3 linked regions of the Cricetulus griseus genome follow. The protein of the gene in region 3 interacts with the protein of the main gene of each other region in a pairwise test. Links are inferred from orthologs where the notes say so. Each region holds a gene or a part of one and is shown on either strand. Other genes may lie near its edges.

Region 1 (4,005 bases), on a different chromosome or scaffold from region 3:
ATATTGAGGGATTTGGGAATCCATTAAAGGGCATATGTGTGAACATCTCAAACCCAATCATTTTTAGCAGGTCTTAGTCACAAGAAGTTCCTAGTCTGCTGTCCAGATACAATCTTACACAACTTGCAGGATGCCCGGTGCATTTTTAGACACAATTCAGAGGTTTTGTCTATAACCAAGGGGAAAGGATTGTATAGGGATGTGAACCCCAGGAAGGGATCATGGGTCTCTTATAAATTGTCTGCCATATTGGGTGTCGAGTCTTATGTCCTGGTCTGCCTTAGCTTCATCAGCTGCAGACCAGTGAGAACTGGATAGACAGCTGCATCCAGGGACAGAGCCCAGATGCAGTCCCATGTGCTATCAAGGCAGAGACTGGTAATGGAGGTAGAAGATGAGGTCTTAGAGATGAAGGGAACACAATAGAACACAGTGTGAGTGAAGAAATGTACTAGGAGTACATTTGGTGCTGGGCAGTACCAAGTCTACTGCAGCACAAGCGAAAGAGATCTGCAGATCTGGGGCCACCACAGGATAAACTTAAAGGAACTACATTGAGTCTATCTGGCCAAAGGTCCTTCTGAAGAGAGCGCTCTGAAGAGGCAAGAGTGGGTGGCCTGGGTTTCCTAGGGACATCTCTTCCATTCATTTGGCAAATTCAAGGCTGGTGGAAGTGTTCCAGCCCACTCTTGCCTCTCCTTCAGCTTGGCTTCTTTTTTTAACATTTAAATATAAATGTTCTTCCTCCCACAGCATTTTGAAGTAATTCAAGGGCTTGAGGGTAACTGGTTTTACTGCCATCTGCTTTCTCCTCAAGCTGCCAAACATCAGTTTTCTCCTTTCTTCAAGCGGATCAGGCACCTTGCAGGTGGTGGTCTCCTAGCTATCTCCAGCCAGGTGACTGGACGTTGTGACGACTTGACGGAGTTGAGATAAACATCCATGTTTCGGGTGCCTGGTCCTGGGTCAACAGACTGGCTCACGCCGAGAAACACTCAGGTTTAGGCATGCGCAGACAGCCTGGCAGCCATTTTAAGGGCTTACCGTACTACAGGAGTGACCACCGCGCAGGCGTACACGGGAGACTTAACCCGCCCTCACCCCAGCCCTTTGCACGCATGCGCGGATTAGCCGGAAGGGGCGGGATTAGCCATTGCGAAGCGGCTGCGCCTTGGGAATGCCGGGGTGGGGCGGGGCGGGGTGACTGTCAGCTGACTGAGGCGCAGATTGCCTCGCGGGACAACGGTCGGCGACGCAGGTTGAGGTGGGGGCGGAAGAACTCTCCCGGCGGGTCTCTGTGCGGTCGGTGAGGCACAGGGTCGCCGTAACATCATGGCGACCACCGTCAGCACGCAGCGCGGGCCGGTGAGTCCACTGGGCGAGGGCCGGACTGGGGCAACGCAGCCTGAGATCGGGCTCCTCTTGTCAGCCCCTCGTGGGGCCCCTCGCGAGTTGCTCGGCCGTCCCGGAGCTGTGCGGGTCCCACCTTCGGGTACCCAAACGGAGTAGCGACTCTGGTCCTGAGGGTCTCGCGGGTGGAAGAAGGCAGAGCTTGATGGTTCTTTGGATGCCCACGGGCCCTGAAACCCCTGAATCCCTAGAGGGGCCCTGAATCCCTTAGTCCTCCACACAGAGGAACGTGACCCCATTGGTTCCCCATACTGAGAGGGACCCCGACTCCCCTTAGTTCCCCGGGTGGAAAAAGGGTCCCGAACCCCTTACTTCCCCAGATGTATACCAACCCCTTGGTCTCTCAGATGGACATGGGCCCTGACGCTTGGTTCCCCAAATGGAGAGTGGTCCTGACCCTGTTAATTTCCCAAACTGATAGTCTTGGCTCCCATGATCTCTCAGAGGAGTGGGGCCTGACACTCCTCTGATGTTTCAGAGATGGTGAAAGATCCCACTTTGTAATCAGCTCTTAGTTGTGTCAGTTTCTTCCTCTCCCTGCTCCTATAGAGAACAGGGTTGCTACCTCTTGAGCCCGGTTAGTGGCTACCTTTCCAAGTCTCAGTTGTTCATCTATAAATGAGGAGAAGGGAGCAGAAAACGTGGAAAACCAACAGTGATGGCTCCTAAGGGTTGTCTTGGGGTCCACAACACTACCTGTCTCTCCTACCTCTAGTGTGGATGTCCTCCCAGTAGTTCTCTGAGACTGATATGAGTTGGATGTTGTTAGCTAACAGTGGTTATGTGTGTAGAACACAGTTCTGATGGCTCCATTGTCTTTTCCCTGAAGTTATTGAAAGTGTCTGCAAAGCCTTTGGTTTCCCAGGTCCCTCACCCTGACAGCTTGGTGTTGACAGGTGTGTGTGTGTGTGTGTGTGTGTGTGTGTGTGTGTGTGTGTGTGTGTAACAGATAAATCATTGGGGTAGATGACTGATTTTCTGACTTTGAAGAAAGCCCCAGGCAGGGTGCTTTTTTGGAGGGCTTTAAAGCCAGACTTCCTGACCAGAGTTGGGGTTACCTTCATGTTCAGCAACCCTTCTTCATCCTCACTGTGTCTCACCAAACTACAGAAGATTGCTAGTGGCTGACAGAAGAGGAAGGGAGCCAGTACTTTGCTCTTTTCCTATCTCCTGCCAAGTGGACACAGGGCCAGGCAGAGTGGACCGTTCCTTACTGTGTGTCTGAGAGTGCCTTTACTTCTGTGGCTGGACTGCATTTGAATTCATCTGATGGTGAGCTTAATGTCCGTCATTAATTGAGTAAGAAGGTGTCCTCCCGTGTTGCTGAGGGAAACTCTGGTGCTGTGTGTATAGAGCTGGGGTAACCCACGCTGTGATGAGTAATTGGGAGTGTCGGGTGACATTCATACTAGCGCAATCTGTGGAGTCAAGTCCTGACGCTTGATCTTTCTACTTGCCCAGTGTTCTAGGGACCACAGAGTCTTATAAATAAACATAGACAGCTGAATGGTTTTTTAGGAGCACTCTTGATGACTTGTAATATTGTGTCTGGACTCTAAGAAATTGTCATCAGTGACAGATATCTTAGACTTTGCTTGGGATGTATTATTGGCCACAGTATTTAGAGCAATTGGACACTGAGTCAAAAGTGTGGAGCACAGGGACACAGCTATGCATGGTGACCCATATAAAGCCAGAAAATAACAGTCACCATCAGGTCTGTGCTCTTAATCATTGAAAACAGAAAGGTATGGACTTGGTGTGGGAGGAGTGAATGGGTTATGGCCAGGGTCTCTTAAAGACTAGAAGATCTTGAACTTGATCTGGTAAGTGCTGTTTCTTAGAGTGCATGCCTTTTACAGTTTTCAGCTTTTCACTGGCTGCTTCACCTAGAATGATCTACCTATATGCCTCTGGATTCATTAATATTTGCAAAGGTTTTTTTAGCCAGTTGTCAGGGTCTAGTAGAACTGTCAAGAGTGTGGTAGTTCTTCCCTACTATTCATGTCATACTCAGGGTTGTGGAGCTGTAAAGATAAACAGAAGTACACATTTGGTCAGTACTGGGTACTATTGGCAGCCTTCTTTTTGTAACCGCAGCAGGGGGTTAGGCTATGGTTCAGAGTCCCCTTCCCAGGAGCCTGGACTAGGCTTGGGCAGTTGTCTCTATAGCTGACCTTCACCTCTGATGAGTGGGGAAGGACTGACAGTGTCTTGGGAGGCTATAGAAGGCTGAGGACACTCTCATCTGGGCTAGGAGGGTTCTCTATTCTTGGTTGAGGGTTTGGGATGGGGCAAGTATGAGGAGGAGAGCCAGAACCCACATAATTGTGAAGGAATAAGTTTTTCCCTGGGACATTTGGTATTTTACGTTTTTTTTTTGTGTTTTGTTTTTTTTGTTTTGTTTTGTTTTGTTTTGTTTAATAGCCACTATAGGGCACTACAATCTTTCATAGCCATCTCACTTTTGAAAATACTGGTATTTTGAAATTACCCCTTTTGCTACCCAGTCTGCACACCTGCTCCTTTCCTACAGTAGTGGTTTTTTTTTTTTTTTTTTTTTTGCGGGGGGTGGGGTGGGGGGGTGGGGGGGTC
Region 2 (3,972 bases), on a different chromosome or scaffold from region 3:
TCTCTGTCCAGTCAACCTACCACCCTTTGACTTTCAGGGCCAGGGCTCAAACTGGGATGTAATGGGATAGTTGTCTATAAAATTGTAGTGTAAATACAGCACTCCCTCATGTTTTCTTCTCTCTCACTCCCATTTGCTTTCTTCTACACCGGTTGTTTTTAATTTTGGGCTCCCATGTTTGAGCAAAGTGGTTGCTCAAAGGCGGAGTACCATAGCTGGTGGAGTGGGGGAGAAAAGCAAAAAGGTGTCAATTATCACTAGCCTCATTTTTAATAATATTGGCTGGCTGCTTGTACAGACAGCCAGCGTGTTGTAAATAAAGCAGAGTGGGCTCTTGTGTTTTACAATCCTCGTTGTCCTATTTGGGGAGGGGACCTGGCAGATGTCTCGATGTAATTAGGGCTGAAACCGACTCTTATGATCCAGAGATATAATCCCACAATTTGGGAGGTGGAGACAATTTAGGGGCTAAGGCTGGCTTCCACTACATGAGACACTGAATCCCCCATCACCCTCTCTCACTCAAAAGTCAAATCTTGAAAGGTCTAGTTTTCAGCGTTCTCAAACCAGAAGTCGTCCTAGAGGTCCAAGTTGGTTTGCAGTTCTCGATTTACCAGTACCCTCCCACACCCCCATAGTTGCACCTGAGGTGCTTTGAGCTCTGGGCCTGGGATGGGTAAAACAGTGGGAGCCAGTTGCCAGCATTCTAAGAGTCAACGGGGTTGGCCATAGTACTTGGTGTGGGGCGGGGTACACGTTTGGGGGCGGAGTCTTCTAGGGCTGAAGACCGTTGCTCAAGGCAGCGATCACGTGAGTGTCTAGGCGGAGCTTCGCAGTCACGTGACACGAGCGGATCACGTGAGGGCAGTCGGCTGCGCAAAGTGGGCGGGCTTGTGTCACGTGGCATGGGGAGAGGTGGGCGGGGACCTCGATACTGTTCGCGACGTAGGTGGTGGTGTTGGACCTCGGCTGTGGGGTCCAGGGTTCTGGGTCTCGCTCCACGGCTCTAAGCTATCACCCTGCTGCTCCACGCCGTCCTCCTTGGGCGCGTCTCCCGCACTGGCCCTGCCCTGTCGGCGCTAGCACGTCAATTTGCGGGTGTGCGCAGGCGCGGCGGGGGCGCTTAGTCCTGTTGGGTGGGCGGCTGAGCCCGGGAGCGCGCGAGCGAGACCATGGCGGGCAGCAGCGCGGGGGGCGGTGGTGTAGGCGAGACGAAGGTGATTTACCATCTGGATGAGGAAGAGACTCCCTACCTGGTGAAGATTCCTGTCCCGGCGGAGCGCATCACCCTCGGCGATTTCAAGAGCGTTTTGCAGCGGCCCGCGGGCGCTAAGTACTTTTTCAAGTCTATGGATCAGGATTTTGGGTAAGCGTGAGGCCTAGACTGGGAAGGACGATGGATGTGCTGGAATGGATTGGGCGATTTTGAGGGGGACTGGACTGCCTTGGAATTTTTCTGGCCTGTTGTAGAACATAGCATATTGTACTATGCTAGAGTAGATCGCCCATCCCAAGACGGACAAGGTTGGACACACAGAGCTTGGGAAGAACGGGCTGGACTTCAGTAAACCAGAGGCAAGAAAATTAGGTTGGAATAATGGGGCACACTGGTTTGTTTGGCCATTCTCTCTACTTGATTTTAGCCACAAGGCTAAGAGGCGATGCTTGAGGATATTTTAGGCTGTGCTGAGATTAGATTCAACTATCTTTTGGTTGTCTGGTATGTTCTCAGACGTCTTCACAAGGATTGTATAGGAATATTCTGTAGGGTTATTTTGTTTGTTTGTTTGTTTGCTGGTTTTGATTTGGTCTTTTGTTTTGAGACAGGCCTTACTCTTTGTATCCTAGGCTGGCTCCGAACTCATGGAGTTCCTGCTTTCAGCCTTGAGAGCTGGAGTTAACAGGTGTGAGCCAATATGCTGGGCATGCAGTGTCATTATGTAGATTGAGCTATACTTAGACAATTTAGGCTATCCTGGCTTATTAATTAGGTCCCATAGTATTATTTTGAGATCTGAAATAATGCAGAGAGGTCTGTCGGGGATAGGTTGGACTGTTTTGAATAGATTTTTTTCTGGCAAAGTTTGCAACCTTCTGAACTCTACTGGGTTCTTTTTATTTTCTCTTAGGAGTAGATTCCCCTCCCCCTACGGGGGAAATTGGAGGTTTGTTTGTTTATTTTAAAGATATTTTATGTGTATGGGTGTTTTGCATGCGTGCATATTTGTGCACTACAAGCATGCAATGCCTCAGAAACCAGAAGATGGCTTGGGATCGCTTGGAACTGGAGTTATGTATATGTTATCCTCTATTTAGGTGCTGGGAATTGCACTCCAGTCCTTTGGAAGAGCAGCCAGTGCTCTTAACTGCTGAGCCAGGATTTCATCCTGTAACTAAAGCTACCTAGAGCTCACAATGTAGAACAGACTCACCTTGAATTTGTAGCAGCCCTGCCTCTATGTCTGCATCCTTCATGCTGAGGCTAGAGGTGTGTGACACTATACCTGGCCCAGACCTGGGTTTACTGTGTTACAAGATAGGAATAGGCTGGTGGAGTCCGTGCATATTGTATTGGGGTATTGCAATCAGTACTGGTGCAGACAGCTGCTTGTGTGGAGGCACTGGGGCTTTGCTAGATTAGATGGGGGTTGTTCTGGGGTAATTTGGGACATTCTGGGTGATCCTGGGCTGGAGTAGAACTCTTGAGTAAGGCAGCCTTTTGTTTTGTAGCTATTGAGACCGAGTCTTGTGTGTCCTCAGGCTCAAGGTCTGAAGATAGAGTGCATTGGATTCTGATGTTCTGAGTTGGCATAAGCAAGGATAGCAGGGTACTGGGGAGAAAAAGGTTATCTACCACCTGGGTTGGAGCAAGGCTCCTTACCTGTGGTTGGAGCACATTCCCCATTAGCTAGAACTGAACAAACTGGACTCTCACTGAAGATTTTTCGACATGGGCAGAGTGATACTATCTAGGGGGTTGTCTTGGATTTGAATCTTGGTTCTTCTTTTTGCATTATAATTTTAGGCAATCTATTTAACTTTTGTGCTTTGATTTCTTCATCTGTGGCATGATGATAATCATAGTGTAAAATACTTAATTTAGGTGCAAGCACATGGTAAATCTTGGTGGCTGGTAATTTTCATTTAGTATTGAGGCTAACTAGTTCATAGACTAGATTATAGTGATACAAAATTGCCTGCTTTGGAGGAGACTGGGCCACGCTGGGTTTGATGAGGTTGGGTTATGTTGGGAAGAGTTGTATACACTGAGCAGACCCCTGGTGACTGGGCTATGTTGTCTTGGCAGCTAATATATGAGGAATATACCTTCAAAATGTGGCATATACCCAAGGCCCCCAGAGCATATTAGGCTAGTGTTAATCAATCAAGAGGTTTTATTTTAATTTTTTCATTATTTTTATGTATATGAGTGTTTTGTCTGCATGTATGTATATCATGTGCATGCCTGGTGCCTGTGAACATTAGAAGAGACAGAGCCCAGAACTGGAGTTACAGATGGTTGTGAGCCACTATGTGGGTGCTGGAAACTAAACCTGGGGCCTTTTGGAAGAGCGATAAATGCTCTTAACCACAAGCCAACTCTCACTAAGCCAGCCCCCAGACAAGAAGTTCTAATTTGAAGGTGAGGGTGTTGTGTATGTGAAAGTAAGCCTCATGGCTCATATTTTGTCACCATGTATTTGCTAATGCTTACTAAGTATCAAGGCTGGTGCTGCACACCCAGGACACATGTTGAACAGAGTAGGTGCTAATGATTTCTTGTGGGTATTGAGAAGGAACAAGTTTAATCCGAGGCGGGAGCCTGTGGGAGGCTGGCCACCAAGGCTGGGCTTCAGGATGTTTCAGGCTGAGCAGATTGCTTAGTGAGATGAGGCAGCCAGGAAACGGGAAGCCTCTCATCCCCTCTCAGTGGGCGCTTTCCTGGTGTGGAGTGTTACTGTCACATTGAAG
Region 3 (2,696 bases):
CCAGCTCTTCCTCTCCCTGGAAGCCATGGTTCTTTTGAGAGCTGAGGATAATAATGAGACCCGAGCTTCACCCTTGGCATAACCACTCATGTAGTCAGCCCATGACAATTATTGCTGGCCATTGACAAGTAAAATATAGGTTCTATCTGTCTTACTACATATGCCACTCAACCTGGCCTCTTAAAAATTGCTGGCTGTGGACTGGTAGGATGGCCCATTGGGCAAAGGCACTTGCCGCCAAGCCTGACAGCTTGAGTTCAATCCCCAGGACCCACAGGTAGAAGAGAGAGCTGCCTTCTGCCAGTTGTCCCCTGCCCTCCACACCAGTACTCGTGCAGACACCCAAACTAAACAAATACTATAAATCTTTGTAAATTGTCAGACTGGTCAGGTGTGGGGGGGTGTTTATTTTGCATGGTCTTTGTTTCCAAGGCTGGATGATACCCCTTCATGTCCTGATTAAGAGGCCTGGGAGCAGCCCCAGAGAGTGTTCCCAATCCACTGTGTCAAGAGTACTGCAGGCCAACCTTTCTTTATCTGAGACTCCAGTGCTTTTTGCCTGCATTGGCAACTGGTTTCCTTAGCTGTTTGTTCTCCCTGGGGCATCATCTGCTTCAGGCAGACAGAGTTCAAAGGGAACCCCATTGTCTTGTGCCCGGGAACAGATATTGTCTGTCCTCTTCAGGGAGGGGGTACAAAGCAGTGTGGGGAGTTAGGAAAAGTGCAGAGGTGGCAGTGACTTGCCTTGGTTCAAGAAACAAACTGAAGTCAAGGATCAGGTGTGCCTTTTGCTTTTCCACCCTCTGCCCGGTGTCTCTACATGGGTCAGTGTTCAGTAACCCTGGTGACTGCCAGGTAGCAGGCAGGAGCAGCTAGGTGGTGGCTGTCTTTAGCTGAGTCGTTAGTGGTTTTGTGCTGTGGATAACTTTGTTGACAACAAAGGTCCATAAAGTCCCCATTTTGTGTGCCCCACACTTCGTGTGCAGGTATGCCCTTCTTGCTTAGGGTTCAGGAACAGAGCAACCAACTGTTGGGGTTATTAGCAGTACACACCATGAAACAGTGCAAGGTTGCACATCGGGCAACAGAGCCATTCACTGCTGCCTGGAGAATCAAGGCTTGCTAATGCCCAGAAAGACCTGGGAAGACTGGCTTTGGTCATGATGTGACATGACATCTGGAATTATTTGCAGGATATGGAGGGTAAAGGCTCTCTAACAAGGGTCTTGGGAGATTTAGAAAGCCTACGCCCCTGTGAGGAGGGATGGAGACCCAGTGCAAGATTAGATGCATCACGGCGTGTGCCTCGTTGGCATACATCACCCACACGACCCCCTTCTCTTGAGACTTCCCCAGCCTGCAGTCCTCCTAACTCAGCCATCAGCCCTACCTTTGGTGGAACTCCGATCTGCTGGTGGTGAGATCCATGTCGAGTCTCACTTCTGTAGAGTCATTTAAATGAACATTCTTAATAAATGTATTTGTCCATGTTGGAGTGAACTGGTAGCTTTGCAGACAACTGATCCAGCCCGTTACACAGACAGGGAACAGGGCCTGAGGAGATGGAGAGTTGTCCCAAGTCACAGTGGTTCTAGAGTTCTAGAGCAGGTCTGTCACCTGCTTCCCTTGCTAAAACAGCAAGGCGCCAGCTCACCTAATTCTTTTACTCTTGATGGAATTTTGGAGAGGCCTTGCTCCAGCGATTTCTTGGAACTTTCTTTTCTAAGTAAATGGGAAATCTGTCAGGAGAGCCTTGGAGGCCAAGATGGCTTCCGAGAATACTGACTAGAGGGGAGCAGAGTGGGGGCCCCTTCCTAGGTGCCTGGGGTTTTGTTTTGGAAACTGAGTGTCTTGGAGATTCTTCTGATTTTGCTTTTTTTTATTTTTTATTTTTTGCAATGTTGTGCTTTGTTTTGAGACATGGATTTTTTTTTTTTTCTTCTAGTGTTTCTCTCCAGAGGCAAAGCCCAACACACCTGTCTTTTGTCCTCTTCTCCAGCAAATTAGATTTGTCTCTGGGAATGTGTTTGTCACATATCAGCCTACTGCAGACCAGCAGAGGGAGCTCCCATGTTGAAATTGTTAGCAACCCCCACCCCCCTTTTGCAAAAAACAAAAAAAATCAAAAAAACAAAAAACTATTTCTTGATGATATTTGAGAGATTTCAATAAAAATTTCAATCAGAGGGAAAATGATCTCAAGTAGACTACAGAGTTTGTTTTCATGGTGCTACAATTTTGGAGCAAAAGTATTTAATCTCTGGCTGAGTTTGTGAGTACCTGGCCCGTAGAAGCTAAGTTGCATGTTTCACGGGAGCAGATTCTGAAAGAGCACCCTAGAAGACTGCGCCCAGCTCCAGGGCTTCATCGATGCCGCTGCCATCTTCTCGAGCTCCGAAACCACCCTGAGCTTCATGTTAGAAGATCCTCGTGCCAACAGGTCATCGGCTACCAGAAGTTCTTGCATCAGCACCAACAAGGCTGCCAGATCTAGCTAGGGGACACATACTGCTGTGTGCCTGCTCTGTTCCCAAGGAAGGGAAGACCCCCAAAATGGGACCTCCGTTATTGAGTTGGATCCCATTTCTAGTTCGGTTCTATCTAGTCATGAGCTACAATTCTCTCTCTGGTTTAATGGTACTTATGTACCATCAAATCCCATTGCTTTTGATCTAATTAATGGTGGCATACACCTG

Evidence for each region.
Region 1: the proteins of Rbpms (region 3) and Tollip interact in binary tests that used the Homo sapiens proteins (3 or more experiments, as listed by UniProt). The two-hybrid records come from large-scale screens. The link is inferred for Cricetulus griseus from reciprocal best matches to the Homo sapiens genes RBPMS and TOLLIP.
Region 2: the proteins of Rbpms (region 3) and Dvl2 interact in a two-hybrid assay, tested with the Homo sapiens proteins (2 studies listed by BioGRID and IntAct). The two-hybrid records come from large-scale screens. The link is inferred for Cricetulus griseus from reciprocal best matches to the Homo sapiens genes RBPMS and DVL2.

Annotation. Positions count from the first base shown.
Region 1 is NC_048596.1:59,283,578-59,287,582, forward strand, and holds the start of Tollip (toll-interacting protein), read left to right. Parts: upstream 1-1,205; 5' UTR 1,206-1,332; coding exon 1,333-1,365; intron 1,366-4,005. UniProt on the Homo sapiens protein: Component of the signaling pathway of IL-1 and Toll-like receptors. Inhibits cell activation by microbial products. Recruits IRAK1 to the IL-1 receptor complex. Inhibits IRAK1 phosphorylation and kinase activity.
Region 2 is NC_048600.1:83,846,839-83,850,810, forward strand, and holds the start of Dvl2 (segment polarity protein dishevelled homolog DVL-2), read left to right. Parts: upstream 1-1,172; coding exon 1,173-1,366; intron 1,367-3,972.
Region 3 is NW_023276807.1:51,013,785-51,016,480, forward strand, and holds the end of Rbpms (RNA-binding protein with multiple splicing), read left to right. Parts: intron 1-1,945; coding exon 1,946-2,077; 3' UTR 2,078-2,196; downstream 2,197-2,696.